3 linked regions of the Oryzias latipes genome follow. The protein of the gene in region 1 interacts with the protein of each later gene in a biochemical or structural test. Links are inferred from orthologs where the notes say so. Each region holds a gene or a part of one and is shown in the gene's direction. Other genes may lie near its edges. The genes, in order: kdr, shc2 and hspg2.

Evidence for each region.
Region 2: the proteins of kdr (region 1) and shc2 form a complex in vitro, tested with the Homo sapiens proteins (2 studies listed by BioGRID). The link is inferred for Oryzias latipes from reciprocal best matches to the Homo sapiens genes KDR and SHC2.
Region 3: the proteins of kdr (region 1) and hspg2 form a complex in vitro, tested with the Homo sapiens proteins (2 studies listed by IntAct). The link is inferred for Oryzias latipes from reciprocal best matches to the Homo sapiens genes KDR and HSPG2.

What each region holds. Positions count from the first base shown.
Region 1 is NC_019862.2:262,638-268,760, forward strand, and holds part of kdr (vascular endothelial growth factor receptor 2), read left to right. Parts: coding exon 1-52; intron 53-1,315; coding exon 1,316-1,430; intron 1,431-1,542; coding exon 1,543-1,712; intron 1,713-1,790; coding exon 1,791-1,941; intron 1,942-3,077; coding exon 3,078-3,195; intron 3,196-3,317; coding exon 3,318-3,429; intron 3,430-3,508; coding exon 3,509-3,853; intron 3,854-3,927; coding exon 3,928-4,074; intron 4,075-4,148; coding exon 4,149-4,274; intron 4,275-6,123. UniProt on the Homo sapiens protein: Tyrosine-protein kinase that acts as a cell-surface receptor for VEGFA, VEGFC and VEGFD. Plays an essential role in the regulation of angiogenesis, vascular development, vascular permeability, and embryonic hematopoiesis.
Region 2 is NC_019862.2:29,911,647-29,918,412, forward strand, and holds the start of shc2 (SHC-transforming protein 2), read left to right. Parts: upstream 1-3,052; 5' UTR 3,053-3,358; intron 3,359-3,375; exon of another isoform or gene 3,376-4,899; 5' UTR 4,900-4,943; coding exon 4,944-5,714; intron 5,715-6,766. UniProt on the Homo sapiens protein: Signaling adapter that couples activated growth factor receptors to signaling pathway in neurons. Involved in the signal transduction pathways of neurotrophin-activated Trk receptors in cortical neurons.
Region 3 is NC_019865.2:23,375,602-23,381,724, reverse strand, and holds part of hspg2 (basement membrane-specific heparan sulfate proteoglycan core protein), read left to right. Parts: intron 1-104; coding exon 105-236; intron 237-540; coding exon 541-685; intron 686-2,368; coding exon 2,369-2,526; intron 2,527-2,611; coding exon 2,612-2,752; intron 2,753-2,830; coding exon 2,831-2,994; intron 2,995-3,071; coding exon 3,072-3,251; intron 3,252-3,348; coding exon 3,349-3,545; intron 3,546-3,861; coding exon 3,862-4,009; intron 4,010-5,426; coding exon 5,427-5,554; intron 5,555-5,704; coding exon 5,705-5,791; intron 5,792-5,895; coding exon 5,896-5,951; intron 5,952-6,123. UniProt on the Homo sapiens protein: Integral component of basement membranes. Component of the glomerular basement membrane (GBM), responsible for the fixed negative electrostatic membrane charge, and which provides a barrier which is both size- and charge-selective.

The sequences.
Region 1 (6,123 bases):
GCATCCAGCGGGCAGATGGATGAAAGTGCCTCTGCATACGTCAAAGTCTACGGTAGGTGCACTGGACAATTAAAATGGATTAACAAAAATGCTTTTCCATTCACACAATGTAACTGCATCAATTGACTCAGAAATAAATGAAATGATCAAGAAAATGGTTTTGACATTTCATTTTCAAAAAGTTCTCTAGTAAATGTGTACCAAAATTCAACTAGAAATATCTAAGTTGATAATTAAAATTGGATTAACAGAAATGCTTTTTCTTTTTCACAATGTAACTGGATCAATCGACTCAAAAATAAAATGAAAAATCAATCCTCCAAAATGTTTCTCTACTTGAACAGCTCCCAGTCTTTGACGTGATTAAAGCGATAATGCAAAGAGGGGATTGCACTCCCCCGGAGTGCACACCGTAACAAAACCCCCTTCCCTGCCCACAAACACGAAGCTATGAGTCCGGCTGCACTGATCAGAGTCATACTTCGCTCGCCTGGAGCAGCCGGCCGGCCGGCCGGCCGTCCTGTTTGCGCTACAAAGCCTTCCCTGGAGCAGCACACCGAGTGAACACTGACATCATTGCCCTGCCTCCCTCATGGAACAGCTGATTGGAAAGGATTTATGCAACAGTTTTTGCATGGTGGATGTGAAAATGAAAATGCAATCCCCTCTTTGCATTAATGCTTTAATTATGTCACAGAATGGGGGTGTTAAAGTGGAAAAGCATTTTGGAGGATTGATTTTTTATTTTACTTTTGAATCAATTGATGCAGTTACATTGTGAAAAGGAAAAAGCATTTTTTTAATCCATTTTAATCATCTACTTAGATACAGTATTTCTAATTGAATTTTGGTACACATTTACTAGAGAACTTTTTGAAAATGAAATGTCAAAAAACATTTTCTTTGTCATTTTAATAAAGTGACAGACTGAGCGGTGAAGAAGAAGAAAAAAACTGTTTAGCAGATTTATTTTTCATCTAATTTTTGAGTCAATTACGTAGCTTTATTGTGCAAATGAAAAAACATTCAGGTATTAACTTCTATTTTGAATGATGAGACAGAAATGCTTCCATAGAGCAGGGGTGACCTGGTCTATAATACAGCTCATGCTGGGGCACCTGACGGTTTTCCTTACTACACACAAAAGCTTGGACATAGTTTAGTGTCAATAACAAAGCATCTCATCTTGGCTGGATGAATTTATCAGTTGCTGAAGTCTTATTTGCACAGTTTTTCCTTCCATGAACTTCCATAAGATCAACATTTTCAAACAATTCAAATAAATATGAATAATTATGTTGTTATTTTCCTGCAGAAAAGCCTTTCATTGAAATGAAGGAACCCTGGCCAAAGGTCTGGGAAGTAACGGTGGGAGCTCAAGCAAGTTACCCTGTCAGGTACTCTGCGTACCCTGAACCCAGCTTTAAATGGTATGTTCATGTAGCAGTGGCAGTTTGTCATCAGTTGTGTGTCATAAACAGTTCTTTTATTACACATGAAAAAGCTGCACATTGCACATTTTTGTACCATTATTCTGTTTAGGTTAAAAGATGGCCTAGTACTTAAGGAGAGTTACAGAATCAAACAGAAGAGCGACGCTCTGGTCTTCCGTGGCGGAGTCATGGAGGCAGATGAAGGAAACTACACATTGATCCTAAGCAATAAGGTCACAAAAGAGGAGCAGAGATCCTCTTTCCAGCTGCTGGTCAATTGTATGAAAGATGACTTCTCTTCTGTTTTGTTCCTGAGCTTCTGAAAATGTCATAGTGATGATTTCTTTTTTCCTTCAGTGCCTCCTCGTATTATTGAGAAAGAAGTTCCAGTGGACATGTATTCATATGGTGGGAGCCCTGATCTGACATGTACCGCCCGTGGATTTCCCATTCCTGAGAGCATTCAGTGGCAGTGGATGCCTAAGGAAGACTGCAGGGAAACCTTTGTGTAAGTCGTTTTTGTGTGTGTGTGTGAAAACCAGTAAACACTGGATTTCTTCCTTTTTTGTTTCTGTGCCGTGATCACATGCCTCGTCATCATTTATTGTCATGAGGTTGGCAAAAACAATAGAGGTTGTTGACAAAAACAAGAAAAAAGACAATGAGGGGCACTCTGACCCTGATGGAGATCAGCGGATGTGATTCGGTCTCTTCAAAATGTTCGATTTTAGAAGACATCAGACTTTCTTGCACAAATCTTTGTTCTGTCTGGGCCAGTTGTTTGAGATCGGAGCTCCAAAGTCTGCAGCCTGCACATTTCTGCAGTGACACAACTGCCTGCTCAGTGACTCCTGCAAGGGTTGAATGGGTGTTGATAGAGAGGAGGTTTGTTCTTTCGTGCGTAAGTGGCCACTTTGACCAGAGAAGACCATGCAGCAGCTTCCTTATCTTCTGCCTGCACATCCCAGAGTTTCCTTCGTCCTGATCCACATTTCCTGTTGTTCCTGTAGCTCTTTCAAAATGAAAAAAAAAGAAAATAAAACGCCCTAGTGTACAATTTCGAAATAGAATGACTTGGTTTCAAGAAATACACTTTAAATATAGTGAACTTTCTCTTATCGGCAAAAATGATCGAAAAAAATGAGGGAAAAATTCCCATCATATTTAAAAACAAGACGACATCCCAATAAAATGTTTGCACACTGCAAAAACTGAATTGTAATAAATTAAAAAGACCATTGTTCTAATGTCTTCTTTTCTGTCTTGCGTAAAAATAATCTCATCACGAGTGTTTTTCAATAGCAAAATAATTTTATTGACTAGACCTTTTTTTTTTTTAATTACAATTCTTGGTAAGATCATTTTTCTTACCCCACTTAACTGGCAGATTTTTTTTAATGCTTATTCAAATAATTTTTTTTTCATATTTTAAGATTATATTACTTACTTCTAGAGGGGTTGTTTTTGTAGTTACCAGGTGTTATATTAAATTTACTAAGTTTATTTTTATAGCAGTTACGAAAAAATAAGTGGCAAGATTAAGAGTTGGTTAATGAACTAAGCTGAGGCTAGCCCAGTTTTTTGGAATGAATCATGAAAATGGTATTCCAGCTTGGTTTTCCGTGTCCGTTTTTATTGCATCAGGCCCGGAGTGATAAAGCCTGAGGTGGTGGATAAGTGCAAAAACTGGAGAGATATCAGCAACAGCAGTGGGTACAACCATATAGAGAGGACTACAACTGACATCGATCCTCACGCAAAGGTAAACCACTGACTGATAACCGCAGGTTACAATCACTTCTCTACCAATCATCATTTTAGGTGTGTGTTGGGCATTTTTATCTTTTAAAGAATGTTAACAAATACATTTGATTCACTTTTTAGAAAATTGTAAGCACTTTAAGGATCCGGAACGCAGACACCCACTCACTCTACAGATGCATGGCTTCTAATAAAGTTGGGAAGGACAATCGGATAATCATTTTCCGTGTGACAAGTAAGCATTATGCTCCTTCATCCCTTCTTGTTGCATACATGTGCTTTATAACACATTTTTTTCATTTGCTTTCTGATAGGCAACCTTGAAGTGAGTATGTATCCATCTGATAAGCCCTTGGAGGAGGACAATGTGGCTCTGAGGTGCAAGGCGGACAAACTGATCTACACCAACCTCACCTGGTTCCTTGCGGCTAATGTGTCCAAGTCAGAGCGGGATGCGCCGATTCAGCCGTGTCACTCCATGACCCTTCAGCCGGTCCCCGTGTCACAAGCTGTGCTGCCCACACAGCAGGGAACCAACATCACCTTGGAGCTAATGCTGCCCAATGCATCCTTTCAGGATGAGGGCCTCTATGCCTGCCAGGTGGTGAACATAAAGACTGGGGTGAAAACGTGCCTTCTGCTGCGTCTGTCTCTAAGAGGTTCCTGCTTTACACATCTTTTGCAAACATGCAGAGTCTTGAGGGGTCTAACATCAGTTTTTCTATGACTTCAGATCTCATGGCTGCAAGAATTCGCAATAATTTTACTGACCAGAAAGTAAATGTTAGTGCCACCATTACTCTCCACTGTGATGCCTTTGGGATACCCAACCCAACAGTGGTGTGGACCAAAAACAATAACACGGTGGTGGAGGGGTCTGGTGGGTTTTGCTCTCATCTAGTTCTTCTTTTGTGATTTTATATGTCTCCCTAATAAATTCCCTGTTGCCCTCAGGTGTGATATTGAACCAGAACAACCTGACAATCCAGCGTGTGAAACAGCAGGACAGCGGTCTGTACACCTGCACTGCCTGCAACAGCAGAGGCTGCGACACCTCCCAGGCTGTCTTGACTGTTGAAGGTCAGTGTAACCTTAAACTCTTACATATGCATCTCATTTCCTGCTTTTGCACATCACAGTATTGAAGCAAATGCTTTAAATTACCATTTTCCTAAATTACCACTCTTCCCATCATGTAAACCTTTCCCTTCATTCTTGCTTATGCTTTTATCAGACTTGCCACCTGACAGCTCCGTCCTCTCCAGCTTGCTTACAGATAGCAGAAGATAGATTCTGCATAACTAAGAATAAAAATTTGATGGAGGTTAAGATTGAGAAATTGGAGGTTTAACTGTAACTTTGAAATCAGGACTACACTTAGACTGCAGACAAACCTGGATCAGATCAGAATCAGAAGTACTTTATTGATCCCACACGTGGGAAATGTGTGCGTTACTGTAGCAAGTAAACATAAGAGAAAAAAGAACAAGATAAAAACAATAATATAAAAAAGAAAAATGTAGCATGAATGTAAACAAACAAGACCATTTACAAACAGGTAACAATGTGCAAAAAAAGAGCAGATATATGAAGAATTAAACATCTCTGGATAAGCATTTAGTGAAGGACATAATGTCTCAGGGTAGCCTCAAACAAGGTTATGACATGGTTGTCTTTCTTTGTGACCTCAGGCTTTCAGATACTACTACAAGCTTGTGGTTTTTCTTTGTGGTCACATTTTTGTTGTCTTTTTGTGAAAGCTCTCTTTGTGGTTTTGCTGTCCACTATCTCTAGCATGCATGTCATTGAACAAAAGCTCGGCACTGAGGCACAACTAATCCTCTGGCACCTGGGCTTGTGCCCAGTTGGACAGTTCTGTGATTCATCTGAGGACGTCGCAAATGTGTTTCATAGCTGAGAATGAATGACAACCTAAAAGCTCATGGAAACAAATTCAAGATGAAAGTCTGACAATAGAGGTCCTTCAAATCACATGACACGATTAAAATGTTTGATATCAAAGAGACAGAATAGAAATAGCTTTTTGTACCCATGGAAGTTGGACCAAATAATGCACGTCCTCCTGGGATTTTTGAAATTCAAACAATGAAGAGACTGTGGGACAAAGAGAGAGGCCAGCCCTTCCCCAACGCCACTTGTACCCTCTCTCTGTGCTTCTCAGTCCCGAGCAGAAGGACACAACCCAAAACAAACAACTGCTGTGACTGGAAGCAGCGCTTACGTGACCCTGTCCGCGTCTGCACTGTGGTCCAGTCACAGGAAGTAAGACTCCTAAGAAAGAAAGCAGCACAAAAGAAACTTCCTATGCATAACATTCGTGTCACAAACTTACAAGTACAGTACTTTCTGACAGACCCACTCCAATGAAAATGTTATGTTTGGTGTTTTTAACATGTTTTTGTACCATTTTTCTGATGGTGGACATATATAAAGAAAATTAGGATTAAAATTGCATTTCTGACATTTCTTTAATAAAATCGTGGTGAATCAGGTAGACAAAAAGCAGACAAAAAAACACTGTTGACTGTTGAAAAAATCTTGTAGCTGTGACATAGAAACTAAAATCATCAGGCCACAGTCTCCCTGCTCTTTTCCATTCTGATGCATTCACTTGCAGACAAATAGATCTGTGTATGTCTTTGTTTTCCTCGTCTGTGCTGGTATATGCTCAGATCTTCTTCTCCACAGACATTTCCACTTTGTTCATAGCTGGTCCTCCCAGGCCAGCTAAGAGACTTGGTCCCTCCAGCACATCCTGGGTCTTCACTAGAACCTCCCGGTGTGACATGCCAAGCTTGAAGTAGCTTATTCTATTCCAGCTGTTCTCACTTATCTGTGAGTTGCCCAGTGTAGAGTCTAACATGCAGTGGAAACAGGTTCAACTGCAATTATAAGCAAGCTCCTGCTC
Region 2 (6,766 bases), about 30 Mb from region 1:
ATGTGGTGTATGTAAACCTCTGGTTTCAACTGTTTATGAAGAAAACAAAACAGATTTGCATTTCTGAGTAATTTTTATTCAAATCGCTGTGAATTAGGAGCAGATGAAAAAATGCTGTTGGAAAAAGCCTTACTGGTACAACAAAGGACCCACAACAACAACAAACCACAAAGCTTTGAAAATAGATCAAAAGATGCCATTACTTTAAAAGAAACAGAAAGAAAAATCTTTAACTTAATAAACATGTAAAGTTTGGAAGGAGATGAGCATAAAACTACTGAAACGTTGATGTCTTTGAAATGCTATAATATAGTTTGTGCTTTTGTTTTGAAATCAGGGTCACATGGACGAAGAGGTGCAGCGTCTTCTCTATCAGATCCTGAGGATGTCACAGCAGGGACCATGAAGTCGTTCTCCTCCTGCAGCTTCTGCATTTTAACCTTCAAGGTCAGAATTTATGAGGCATTGTTCCCAAAGCCAAACCCTGCAGTTCTGTGGTCAGATATTGCTGCATGTGACTCTTCTTCCAAGCTAAGCATCAGCTTAGCGATGCCTGATCAACAGTTGAGCAGTCACATGACCCAAAGGGGAGTGCCTTTATCGTTTGTTAGGAGTTCATAAAAGCAGGACGTGCATGCAGATGGAGTGTTGATTTTGATGGCAGAATCGTGCTCTGTGTTACTTGACCACTCATTTTATAACATGTTATAATAAAGATTTTTGCTTTGCACATGTTTATTTTTCATGATTGAATGCACAGAGTCCAATATTTAACTTATGCATCTTCCGACTTTTTATCATCTACTTGAACTGAGCCTTAAAATGTAGTTTTACTTCATTTTCATTAACCCACTCATACCAGGGTCACTAAAAGAAATAAATACTCAGTTTTTAGTCCTTAATTCTTATTTTTTTTTGGTTTAAAGGCCCGTACACACCGGGACGAATATTCGCCAGGCGTTATTCGCCAGCGTTTTTCGTCACGTTTTTTGTGTTCACACCCAGGCGATTTTCGCTGACGATGAGTGGAGTGAACATGCAATTTCATTCCCTGACATTAGATGGCGCTTAATGTAAAACAGAAATACTCCTGTACACAAGGTGGCGCTGCGCAACTTTACGCTTCTTAAAGTCGCTTTTCACTCAGAAGAAGAGAGCAAGTATTTACGCGCTTGTCAGAATCAAACAAAGAAAACATGAATATTTCAAGCACCAGTTGCTCCAACTGGTGCTTGGTTCGGGGATATTTTAGAATGTCCGTCATTATTGCTTCGCGGCAGTGTAGACGCTACTTGGCGTCTATCTTCTTCGCTGGTATGTGTGCTCAGCAAGGCAGTTTTGTGTTTGAGCGCCCCCAAGTTGTGTTTTACTGTAACTTCAGAAGCTCCAGACACGTGAGCAAAAGCGCCGTTCTCATTGGTCGAGTAGATTTCGACGCGACGCGTCGAAAAAAAAAAACGAACCCGAGGCGTTTTTTTTTTTCGACGCTTTAACGCCTGGCGTTTTTTCGCGTCGGTGTGCACACTCTCATTGGTGCCCTTTGTTTAGTCACGAGGCGTTAAACGTCGGCGAAAATCGCCGGCGAAATTCGTCCCGGTGTGAACAGGCCTTAAGGCCCGTACACACCGGGACGAATATTCGCCAGGCGTTATTCGCCAGCGTTTTTCGCCACGTTTTTTGTGTTCACACCCAGGCGATTTTCGCTGACGATGAGTGGAGTGAACATGCAATTTCATTCCCTGACATTAGATGGCGCTTAATGTAAAACAGAAATACTCCTGTACACAAGGTGGCGCTGCGCAACTTTACGCTTCTTAAAGTCGCTTTTCACTCAGAAGAAGAGAGCAAGTATTTACACGCTTGTCAGAATAATACAAAGAAAACATGAATATTTCAAGCACCAGTTGCTCCAACTGGTGCTTGGTTCGGGGATATTTTAGAATGTCCGTCATTATTTCTTCGCGGCAGTGTAGACGCTACTTGGCGTCTATCTTCTTCGCTGGTATGTGTGCTCAGCAAGGCAGTTTTGTGTTTGAGCGCCCCCAAGTTGTGTTTTAATGTAACTTCAGAAAGTCCAGACACGTGTGCAAAAGCGCCATTCTCATTGGTCGAATAGATTTCGACGCGAGGCGTCAAAAAAAAAAAAAAAAAACGAACCCGAGGCGTTTTTTTTTGACTCTTTTGCCGCGTGGCGTTTTTTCGCGTCGGTGTGCACACTCACATTGGTGCCCTTTGTTTCGCCGGCGAAATTCGTCCCGGTGTGAACGTGCCTTAAGACCCACTCCAACGGACAAAATAAAATCAATAAAAAAACAAGACCCACTCCAATGAATATTGTGTTTGTGGTGTTAACATGTTCTTGTGGCGTTTTTCTTATGACGGGGGACATATACAAAGAAAATTCAGCGTAAAATTGCATGTCTGAGTATTTTTTTATTGAAGTTGTTGCAAATCGGGAGGCGAAAGAAAAAAATGCAGTTTGAAAATAGGTTATATGTGACGTAGAAACTACACTGGGCGGGGCCAAAAGCTCCCAGCTTTTCTTTATTCCGATACATCCAGTTGTAAATAAATAGGTCCTCGGTTTTCCTTGTCTGTGCTGTAATCTGGATCAGAACTTGATATTGCTCTTTATTTTTGTTTCACTGCTAATGTTAGATTAGGGTGTCAGGGGCTGTAAGCCAGCGGGAGAGAGTGTCAACAAATAAATGATGGGAAATGGGGGCAGTACGATGGCGTTTGAGTGCAAATCATTCAATCGGTACAAAAGATATTTAAAGATCACGACAATAAAAAAATAACAAAAAAAATGTTCAAGAGTAGCATTGCCTTTTGGAAAACAAAACAAAATTTCAGGAACCAAAACGTAAAAAAACAAAAATGAAAAAAAAAAAAAACGTTTCAGAAAACAAAATTAATTTCCAGGAAACAAAATGGAATATTCAAAAATGAAAAATAAATAAATATAATTTTTAGAAAACCAGGTGAAATGTTACTAAACAAAACACAATGAGTAACCGGAAAGGTAGTAATCATGTGTTGAGGAAACCAAGGTCAGAACATCCGGTAAAAGTCCAGCTGCGGTGCATCAACAGGCATCGATCACATCTGGTTTATCAGTAACCTTTTATTTTCCATCGGCAAACAAGTGTGGAGGCATTCGCTGTAGAGGACGGTAGTTTCCAGTATTCCTGCAGAAACTTTCGTTCATGGCGTTTTGGGTCACCGGCGTCTTTCTGCTGTAACTGAACTGCATCACATCTTCATTGATCACTGAGTGATCAGAGGTTCAGCGGACTGGAGTGTTTCCACCATAGGTTTCCACGTTCCTCCTCCAAAATTACCCATCATGCTCTAGGTAAGATATTTATTTTACAAACGCATCAATGGATCAAACGGACTGCATAGTACATGTGTTGAAAAATGTTCCCAATTTATTATACTAACTCGATTTGGTTAAAAAATATGTTTATTATTATTATTTGACAAGTGTTTCCAAGATGTTCATGAGCTTCAAAGTAGTGGGCTCTTCCCAATGAAATTACCTTCCTGTAAAGACTGTTATACTAATACTATTTGTCACTTTTTTAAAGAAGTAGCTAAATATTATATAGATATAGAGTAATCCTGTTTGCATTTGATGATGATTCAAACCACAAATTTTGGAAATTGATTTTTTTACTTCTTAATAAACCCTCTGACCACTGCATTTTATTCCTGAAGTTAACCTTTGACCTCTCCTCCTCATATCATAATGGCCACTCTTTGTAGTGGGTGTAGAATCATAGTGACATGTGGTCACATTTTAGCCAAAATCTATTAAAAACACTTTCAAATAAACTTTAGAATTCTTTTGACTTTAAAAGTTAAGGTGCTTTGATTTTCTGTCAGAAAATGTCACGTATAACGTGAAATTCTGCAGATTCAAAGGGGGGAAAAAAGTGAACTGATTGCGTCGAATTCCGGTAGCCTCATTCTATTTCGTGTCTCTCGTGTTTAACGTGTCTCCATTTTTTTCTCTCCTTAGAAGGAAGGATATCGCTGCGGGGAAAATGATCTGACAGGAGAAAGGAGAAGCGTTCAAAGTTAGAAGTGAAAAGCATCGTGCAGAGAGAGCGGATTGCTCTCTTGGGAGGCGGGAGGGGAGGTAACTCAGGCAGATGGGATTGGGGTAGTTGTTGTCAGTCAAACAGTTGCTCACAAGCGTAGCTGTATTGTTTACTTTGTCGGTTTTTGTAGGTGCAGCCAGACCAAATGGAATTACACTCACATGAAATGACTCATGCAAAATTCACTTAAAGTAATTGAATCCTGGCGTTTCCTCGGTTTCAGTTTCATCAGTTCCTGAGTTCGTATTTGTATCTAAAAAAAGGCAGACGGGGTTTTCAGTGTATTCCTCTCGTGTATTCATTTTTAAGATTCTTTCGAGAAATATCTTGATATGAGCAGACAGATGGCAGAATTTATTTAATGTATTTTCAAGTCCATGATTTGTCGTTTTAAAAATAATTTTCCACATTTTTTAAGAGCTGAAAAAGCGAGGGTCCTGTCGTGTGTGCAGACAAACACAGGTGATCTGCAGTTCAGGCAGATGTGTTGCAGTGAAAATGGTGGGAGAGCAGCTGGGCAGGGCAGGACTTAATAGACCAATGACATCATCCTCAGAGAGGGAGAGCAGTGAAAGGAAGCGGTCCAGCTCAGAGGAAGAGGAGAGCAGCATGAGAGCGGGACAGAGCCGGAGCTGGAGAGGACCACAAAGCCTTAAGCTGACTTTTAGAAGGAAATAGGACTCTGTCTGGATTTTTTTTCGTTTTTTTTGCTTAGTTTTCTCATCCTCTTCCAATACTCCCCCTTCCCCTTTCCCCCCTCCTTCCCCTTTTCCCCTCCATCCTTTAGCAGTCGTACTCCACCTTCAGCTTCTGCTTCAGGCGGCGTCTCCGGGCATGCTCCTTAAGCCAAAGTATGGCCGCTTTCGCAATGAGTCTGTGACCTCCTCTGACGACCTGATGCAAAGCTTAACCATGAGCAGCAAAGTTGTGGCCACGCCAGTGGTCCCGTCCGCCACCCCAAGCCTTCCTCTTCCTCCTTTGCCTCCTTTGGACCCCAATGCCCGGTCCTCCTCCTCCTCTGCTGGGGCTGCAGCTTTGGCCGACTCCCCTTGCCTCGATGGGGAGCAAGATGCCACTACGACGTTCTGCATGCTCATCCCCAGGATGCCCCAGTGGAAGTTCTCCAACTCTCTGCTCAGCAGAAGCCCATCTAACTCAAGTTCCAGCTCCAACTCTAGCAAGGACTCGGGCAAGGCAGCAGGAGCTCCATCCCAGGCCTCCTCCACGTCCACACCATCACTCAGGCCCATTGGTTCGACTCCCGCCAGTGGACCGGTGGCCAGCCTTGCAGCTGTGCTTAACTCCTGTGACCCTGTGTGTGTCACCCCCTGTTCCCTTCAGGCCATCCGGGGGCAGCGAGCAGTTGCAGCTGCAAATTCTGCCGCCGGCGCGGCGGGTCATGAATTTGGAACCCCGGAGCTCATGGTGAGCCCCGGTGCCGCCAGCAGCTCCAGGTCAGGAATGAACCGCAGGACAAGAGGGGAAGGCATGTGGCTTGGGGGAGAGGACTTCAGCCACAAAGGCAACTTCATCAACAAACCCTCTCAGGGCTGGCTGCACCCCGACAAGAAGATTGCAGGACAGGGGGCCTCGTACATAGTGAGGGTAAGTCAGAAGGTACAGCTGCGTACGTTCCACAAATCTTTGCAACAAAAAAAAAAAAAAAACTTTTTAAAGTGTTGACCACGTGATCTTCTCCACAAGAATAACAGAATGTCAGCATCCCAATCTGAAGGTATCTCTTTCTGGAATCAGGAAACAAAAGAAGCGTGCAGTTTGTTATGCAGCTCATGTGGCGAGGACAGAGGAATGCATAATTTAATCCACAGAGATGGGCTGTGTCAGGGCTCCACTCAGGCGTCTGGGTGCGGAGAGAAAAAAAACACCAATGTATGCACACTTAGAGCCACAATGGAGCACGTTATTACGATTCCCCCCAGAATCATCATTTGTAGTCTTTCGACATATATAAGGTTATTTTCCATGGATTATTGACATTTCATGGATCTCTGTGCACGAGTTAACAAAAGTCCACTTGGTAGTAGTATAAAATCTGGGTTAGTGTTTGTGAATGCTTTATGTTCTGGGGGGGGGTTAGAGACTCACTAGGCTGGTTTATGTCAACAACCCCTCCCCACACGACCGATACCCCTCTGGCCCTCCTCTCTCTTCTTCTGCCTCTCAAAGTAATGACAATGGCTCTTAATTAGCCCCGTTTCTGGTCCAAGCCCCCCCCCCCTTTAAAGGTATAAAACAGGCGCCATTCATTCCTATATTCAATTACATTTAATCACAGTCATCTGCATCATGGGACGTGCAGAAGAGCACATATGAGCTCTTGTCACCACAGATGCAGATTGTCTTGCTTGATATCTCGGTTAAAGAGAGGATATTGTCATCTATAGAAGGGGTGTGGGGGGGTCATTTTAGATGACTGTGGGAACCAGCGTTTGGGATTTACATGGTTTGTGGCTTTAAAGCTGCACTGTGTGTGCAATCGAGTGGTCAATGTATGCAGGGAGCAGCGATGACTGCATGTATTAGTGTCAGTGGGACAGCACATTCCTGCTGCACCGTGCCATTTTTAAACGGCGCAGCGGCTGACTCCCCGCCTCCGTTTCCTCATCACTGAAGCCGGTTCTCATGCTATGGCCTGT
Region 3 (6,123 bases), on another chromosome or scaffold:
TTTATGATTACCAATAAGACAACCCTATCTGACAACTTGTTTCCCAAATCGCCGTCCCAAAATATCAGACGTGTCTTTCTGTTTCTATCTATTCATCACTGCAGCTACCAAAGGCCCTGAAGAGCAGTGCGCATCTAAGCACTTTGAATGCGTCAGTGATCGCAAGTGCATCCCAGCTAGTTACCAGTGCGACGAAGAGCCGGACTGTGCTGATCGCTCTGACGAGTACGGCTGCAGTAAGTCCCACTCCAGCAGCTGGATCTTTGTTTTCTCTCATGAACATTTCAGTCTTTTTTTTTGGCACGCATGCTGTGACAGATTAGCCACAGCTCTTGTCAAACATCTGTTGAGTGAGAAACATCTTTTTCTGATAGACTCATTCGTGAGAACTTGAAGGAAATTCTCCATCCATACTTGGGAGTTAGGTGTCAGGCATTTATGTTTCTTAGCCGGGTAGCCAAAATGTACTCACTTAGCGGCTCTTATTTGTGCATGAATAGATGTCTTGTTTTTCTCTAATATCCATTTGACACTTTTTAGCCCCTCCCACTGTAACAACCCCACCAGAGGAGTCCATCCAGGCTGTACGGGGCTCAACTGTTATGTTCACCTGTCGGGCTGTTGGCGTTCCAACCCCAATGATCACCTGGAGACTCAACTGGGGACACATTCCTGTGAGTGGCAGGTGAGTTGATTTTCTTATATTTGGCTTAACGTATCAAAAATCCGCCCAAATTTTGTTAAAGTGTTTCAGAGTTTTTTTTTTCTCTTAAACACGGTCCTTGGGGGCATATCTTCTGTACCATATGTTAATCGCACCATCATCAAGCTCTTTTCAGGCCCAATTGTCAGGGATGCACCAGTTTTTTGCTATTGTCACACTGCGCATGTCACATGCGTTGTAGGATGAGCTAAACACGCAGTTTTGAAAAGACATTTAGCAGATGCTGTTCACACTGGACTGTTGCTACCCAATTCTAGCACATGAGTTGGCACTAGAGTTGGAAAAAGCTTGGTGCGAAATGTCAAAGTGGTGCATATCTTGCAAATTATGCTCCAGGCTTTTTTTTACTGCTCTTTTCCGATATCTGAAAGACTTGGTGTTATACAATTCCGCCAGGGAGCAATCAATAATTTCTCTCCTCCATGATCAATTTTTTAATGGTTCTGTGAATTAAGGTCATAACCAAATCCGAGTCCCCGATCGGTCAAAGTTCATCTGCAAAATGCATGTTCAATGGACACACTTTTTGTACTAATAGACAGAAAATTGTCTTAACGGCCAGAAACACCCATGTATGCATGTTTAGATAGACCTTTCCTTCAAAGTGGTTGTTCGAACGTGCGTTGCGAGTCCAGTGAGAATGTAGCATTATAGTAAAGTTTGATAATGAGTAAGGATTATATGAGGGTTTTTTTTATAATAAGCACAGGAAAAGGTCAAATAATGACAAACATACAAGAAATCTTATAGAACATAAAGCAACTCTGCTCTGAAAAACCCTTTAACATTTTGCTTATGAGTGCAGATTTTGAGAGAAAAAGAAAATAAATGAATTCTGATTGTTTATGAACCAGCTTGGAATAATCTATCAATAATAATCTCTGACTGTCGATCAAACTGATATTGTCCTTCAGTTGTCTGATAGTTAGAGCATTGTTCCCTCTGTTGTTCCCTTTGTTGAAGTTGGATTACAAATGTTTTAAGAGCTGTAAACCACCTCACTACACACTTCATACACTTTTCTCTTGAAAGCTGAAATGTATTCTGTACAGAAGACATAGCACGGAGGAGACTAATTGACAAGGTCTATCACCAATCAGGATGCAGAACACAATGTGCTGCAAAAGCAAAAACAAAAAAGTGAAATTGCACTGAAAAAATCTGTGAAATACAGACAAAAGGTGAACAGTGATATAGCTAGGGAACACTGTACATTTAATCTTCTGGAAAGTCTTTGAAGCTGTAAAAATTGTTTAGTATAAAGAAATATTGTGGATTGCTCTCCTTTGGGAAGGAATTCAGCTGCTATATTGGGATCAATGTATCCACAGAGCCTATTTCCCATGATTCCTCTGGGTTTGTGTAGTCAATGCTGCAGACCAAAAGCTTCATTTTTTTTAAATGTTAATGTCTGTTTGCAGCTGTGCATGTTTAAACTCTGGCTTGTGTCTGAACTAGCCTTGTGATTTTAATTAGCGAGAAAGCTGTGATGCGCTGTGGTTGCAGAGCAATCAGTGTGAGTTCGTCCTGGTGTGTGTGCGGTTAGACAATTACAGTGGAATTCTAAGGATTTTTTTCTTCTCCCAGTCTGTGAAAGTCAGAGGCCAGTTTACCAAGTCAAAATGAATCTCTTTCATTCCCCAGGGTTTCCATGAACAATAAAAATGGTTTTGGCACCCTCACGATCCGTGATGTGAAGGAGTCGGACCAGGGGGCGTACACATGCGAGGCCATCAATGCTAAAGGCCTGGTGTTCGGGGTCCCAGATGGAGTGTTAACCCTGGTATCAAACCCAATCCCAGGTATTTACCACTATCAATAGGTACAAGCCTTTCGGGATCACCAACACGGGCTGTAGCTGAACCCCCCCATCCCGCACCCTTTCAGGCAACTGCCCTGATGGTACCTTCAGTGTGAACGACCGCTGTGTGCCCTGCTTCTGCGCTGGAATTTCCAAGAACTGCAAAAGCGCTGGGCGCTACCGTGACCAGATCAGACTGCGCTTCACTGATGAGGAAGACTTCAAAGGCAAAAAATGAGCTCCATACTCGAAAGGTATTTGTGGCCCTGACCTTGAGGACTGAGAGAGCTATGATTTGCCTACAGGAGTGAACGTCAGCTACCCCTCCAGGCCCAGCACTCCCCCGCTCTCCTCCACCCAGCTCCTCATTAAGCCAGAGATGGAGGAGTTCCAACTCGTTGACTTATCACGGCGTTTCCTCAACCTTGACTCCTTTTGGACTTTGCCTCGCCAGTTCCTGGGGAACAAAGTAAATATAGTAATGATTTATATTGTCTGTTTTGAAAGACTAAGTATAACCCTTAATACCAATCAATACATTTTTAGATTGATTCCTACGGAGGAACCCTAAAATTTAAGGTGCGTTACACCTTGGCTCGAGGTCTGTCTGAGTCTGTGGAGAGGCCAGATGTCATTCTGGTTGGAAACGGACGCCGGCTTGTGTACCGCAGAGGCCAAAGCACCCCAGCCAATGTGGTCAACCAGAAAGAGATCCGATTCACTGAAGTAAGACCAAGTTCTGTCAGAGGCTTTGTATCAACCACAAATGGAGAGACAGATTGATCACACAGCCGGTCAATCTATCTGCCTCTCAACCTTTCAGGACAACTGGCAGCACTCGAACGGACAACCCGTGAGCCGTGGCGAGCTGATGATGACTTTGGCTAACCTGGATTCCATCAGCATCCGCACCATCTACGACAACCACATGGTCAGTGTGGCACTCAGTGACATTGTCATGGAGACCACCACCACAGAGTTCATCTCACTAGGTCCTGCTAGGGATGTGGAAGAATGCAGGTGAGGAGAGAAAACAGAACTTCCTTCTCAAAAACTGTCCATTACTTTTGTCTACATTCCTTAAAGGTTGGATACTTATTTGTATAAACAACCACACAATAGTAAATATCTATATTTATTTATTGAGGGTTGGAGGGGATTTTATATCAGAAAAGTGAGAACAAATAATGGTAATGTGCGTTTGTTTATGGCATGTTGATGGTGTTTCTGCTTCTGTGGCTTTTCCTCCTCCAGCTGTTTCCTATTCATGATATTACTTGCCTCTTGGTAGTAGATTATAACCCTGCACAATGATGCTTATGTTTCTCGTTTCCAGATGTCCTGCAGGATACACGGGCCTGTCTTGTGAAATTTGTTCCTCCGGTTTCGAGCGTGTCCCTGGTGGCCTTTATCTTGGCACCTGTGCAGGGTGTAACTGCAATGGACATGCCACAGACTGTGATCCCATCAGCGGAAACTGCTTGGTAGGGTCCACTTGGCTGGGTAGTCTGTGGCAAATAAATGAGAAATGGAACAATTTTACAGTACGGCAGCATATAACAGGAGATGTTTTGATGTCTGTGAGGTTAATCTAGACCTGGCAAAGATTAAACCAATTTCAAGGATAAACAGCGTACAAATTTGAAAAAAAGTCCAGTTTCTGTAAGCTGTAAAGAAAAAATGCATAACATTGAAATGCCTTGTTTGAAAAATGGTCCTTCTGCCAAAATTTAAATCACTGTAATCCATTTCTTCCTGTGGTCCTTAGAGATCTGTAGGTTATGTCTGAATTCCCTATTACTTGCTTCACAATACTTTGTGCCCTATATGGCATTTTCACCATTTTGTAGGGGTTGTTTAGGGGCTGTGTCCGAATTCCTTCACTACTCACTACATAGTGAACTATATAGTGCGTTTACCACTTTGTAGTGCTGTCCGAATCTACAATTAATAGATCAAGTGCTGTAGAATTTTCCCAGACGTCTTTGCGAAAAACCAGTGTGCTATCCTAGGCACTTTAACATTGGGAGTTGGGTCATCTAGACCCCACAAGACGGTGCGCTGAACCTTTTTTCTTCAATAATCTGTAATCTTCACTGGTATCCATGGATTACATGAAATCCTCTTCAACTTTATCCACCTTTGTCATGGTAGGGATAACACGTTAATATAAAGGTGGGGTCATAGGATAGCACAAAGGTTAAACAATTTTTTTTACATTACTTTGTATGAGTCATCCAAGCTGTCATCATCAGAACCCTGTGGATTCATAAATAGGATTCATAATAGTTTTCATAAATAGTTTTTTTGTAAAATGTTCCTATTTATTTGGAATTTAATTCTGCAAATAAGTATTTGGGATTTATAAAACACACACTCACATATATATATATATATATATATATAAATACATTTTTCTGAGTTGCATTGAAATCCATGGCACTGGACTTTCCCACACTATACAGTCTTTTAGAGAATAGTGAAGGACTTCATAAATAGCTATAATGTTGGAGCAAATATCTCTAATGCTTTATATCTTGTCCCTTTCGGCTTGTTAAACATAACTCTTGCAGAAAAACAGGAGTTTGATAATTTTTTTCTGTTAAAATTAAAATGAAATTAGCTTGAAGTGTCCGACTGTCCAAAAATGTATAATTCTCCTTTAGCATGTTTGTGCTAATGTTAACTTCTTTAGTGGAAAAAAAAGTCTACCAGTTTGAACTATCTTATTTATTGTGGCAAACAATGATGTAAAAAAGATGGTTGCTAACACATGAGAGACTTTATGGTGGAAAAAATGAGAAAAGAATAGACTGTAGTCTCAGAAATCTCAACGCCTTCATTTTCAGATGTTTTGAACTTCATTGTAACAGAACGAGCTGTGTGCTCTCGCCCACACAGAGCTGCCAGCACAACACAGAAGGCCCTCAGTGTGAGAAGTGTCGCCCCGGCTACTTTGGTGACCCAGGTCGGGGTCGCCCTGATGACTGCAAGCCATGTCCCTGTCCGTACCCGGAGACCTCACGTCGGTAAGGCTGTTGACTACAACATGAACAAATATATATGAAAACACGGACAAAAACCCTGGGCGCTTATGCATTCTGCACATAATTCATTTCCCGACAACATAAATCCTCATTCTGTTGCTCAGGATTCCTCCCTTTTGTCGAACTTCCCAGGTTTTCTGACACCTGTTTCCTGGACATCGACCAGCAGGCCACGTGTGACGCATGCAGGCCTGGATACACCGGAAGACGCTGTGAAAAGTGAGCATAAAGATGTCAGGGCCTCTATGACAGTGGGAAGAACTGCAATGCCACATTGAATGTTACTAACAAAAATATGCACCATTTTCTAAAATCTATTCCAGGTGTGCACCTGGTTACCAGGGTAACCCCCTCCTACCAAATGGGAAATGTGTTTCACGTGAGTTTTTCTTCTCAAACACTTGGGGTTTTTAGAGTATGATTAAATGAACAGAAGCTCCTTTCTGAGCCGGTTTAATGATTACCAGTAGGTTTTGTCACATGTGGTCACTGTTCTAGTATGTGTAGATCTCCCAGGTACACTTTCCTCTCCACTTGTCAGCTTTTCTTTG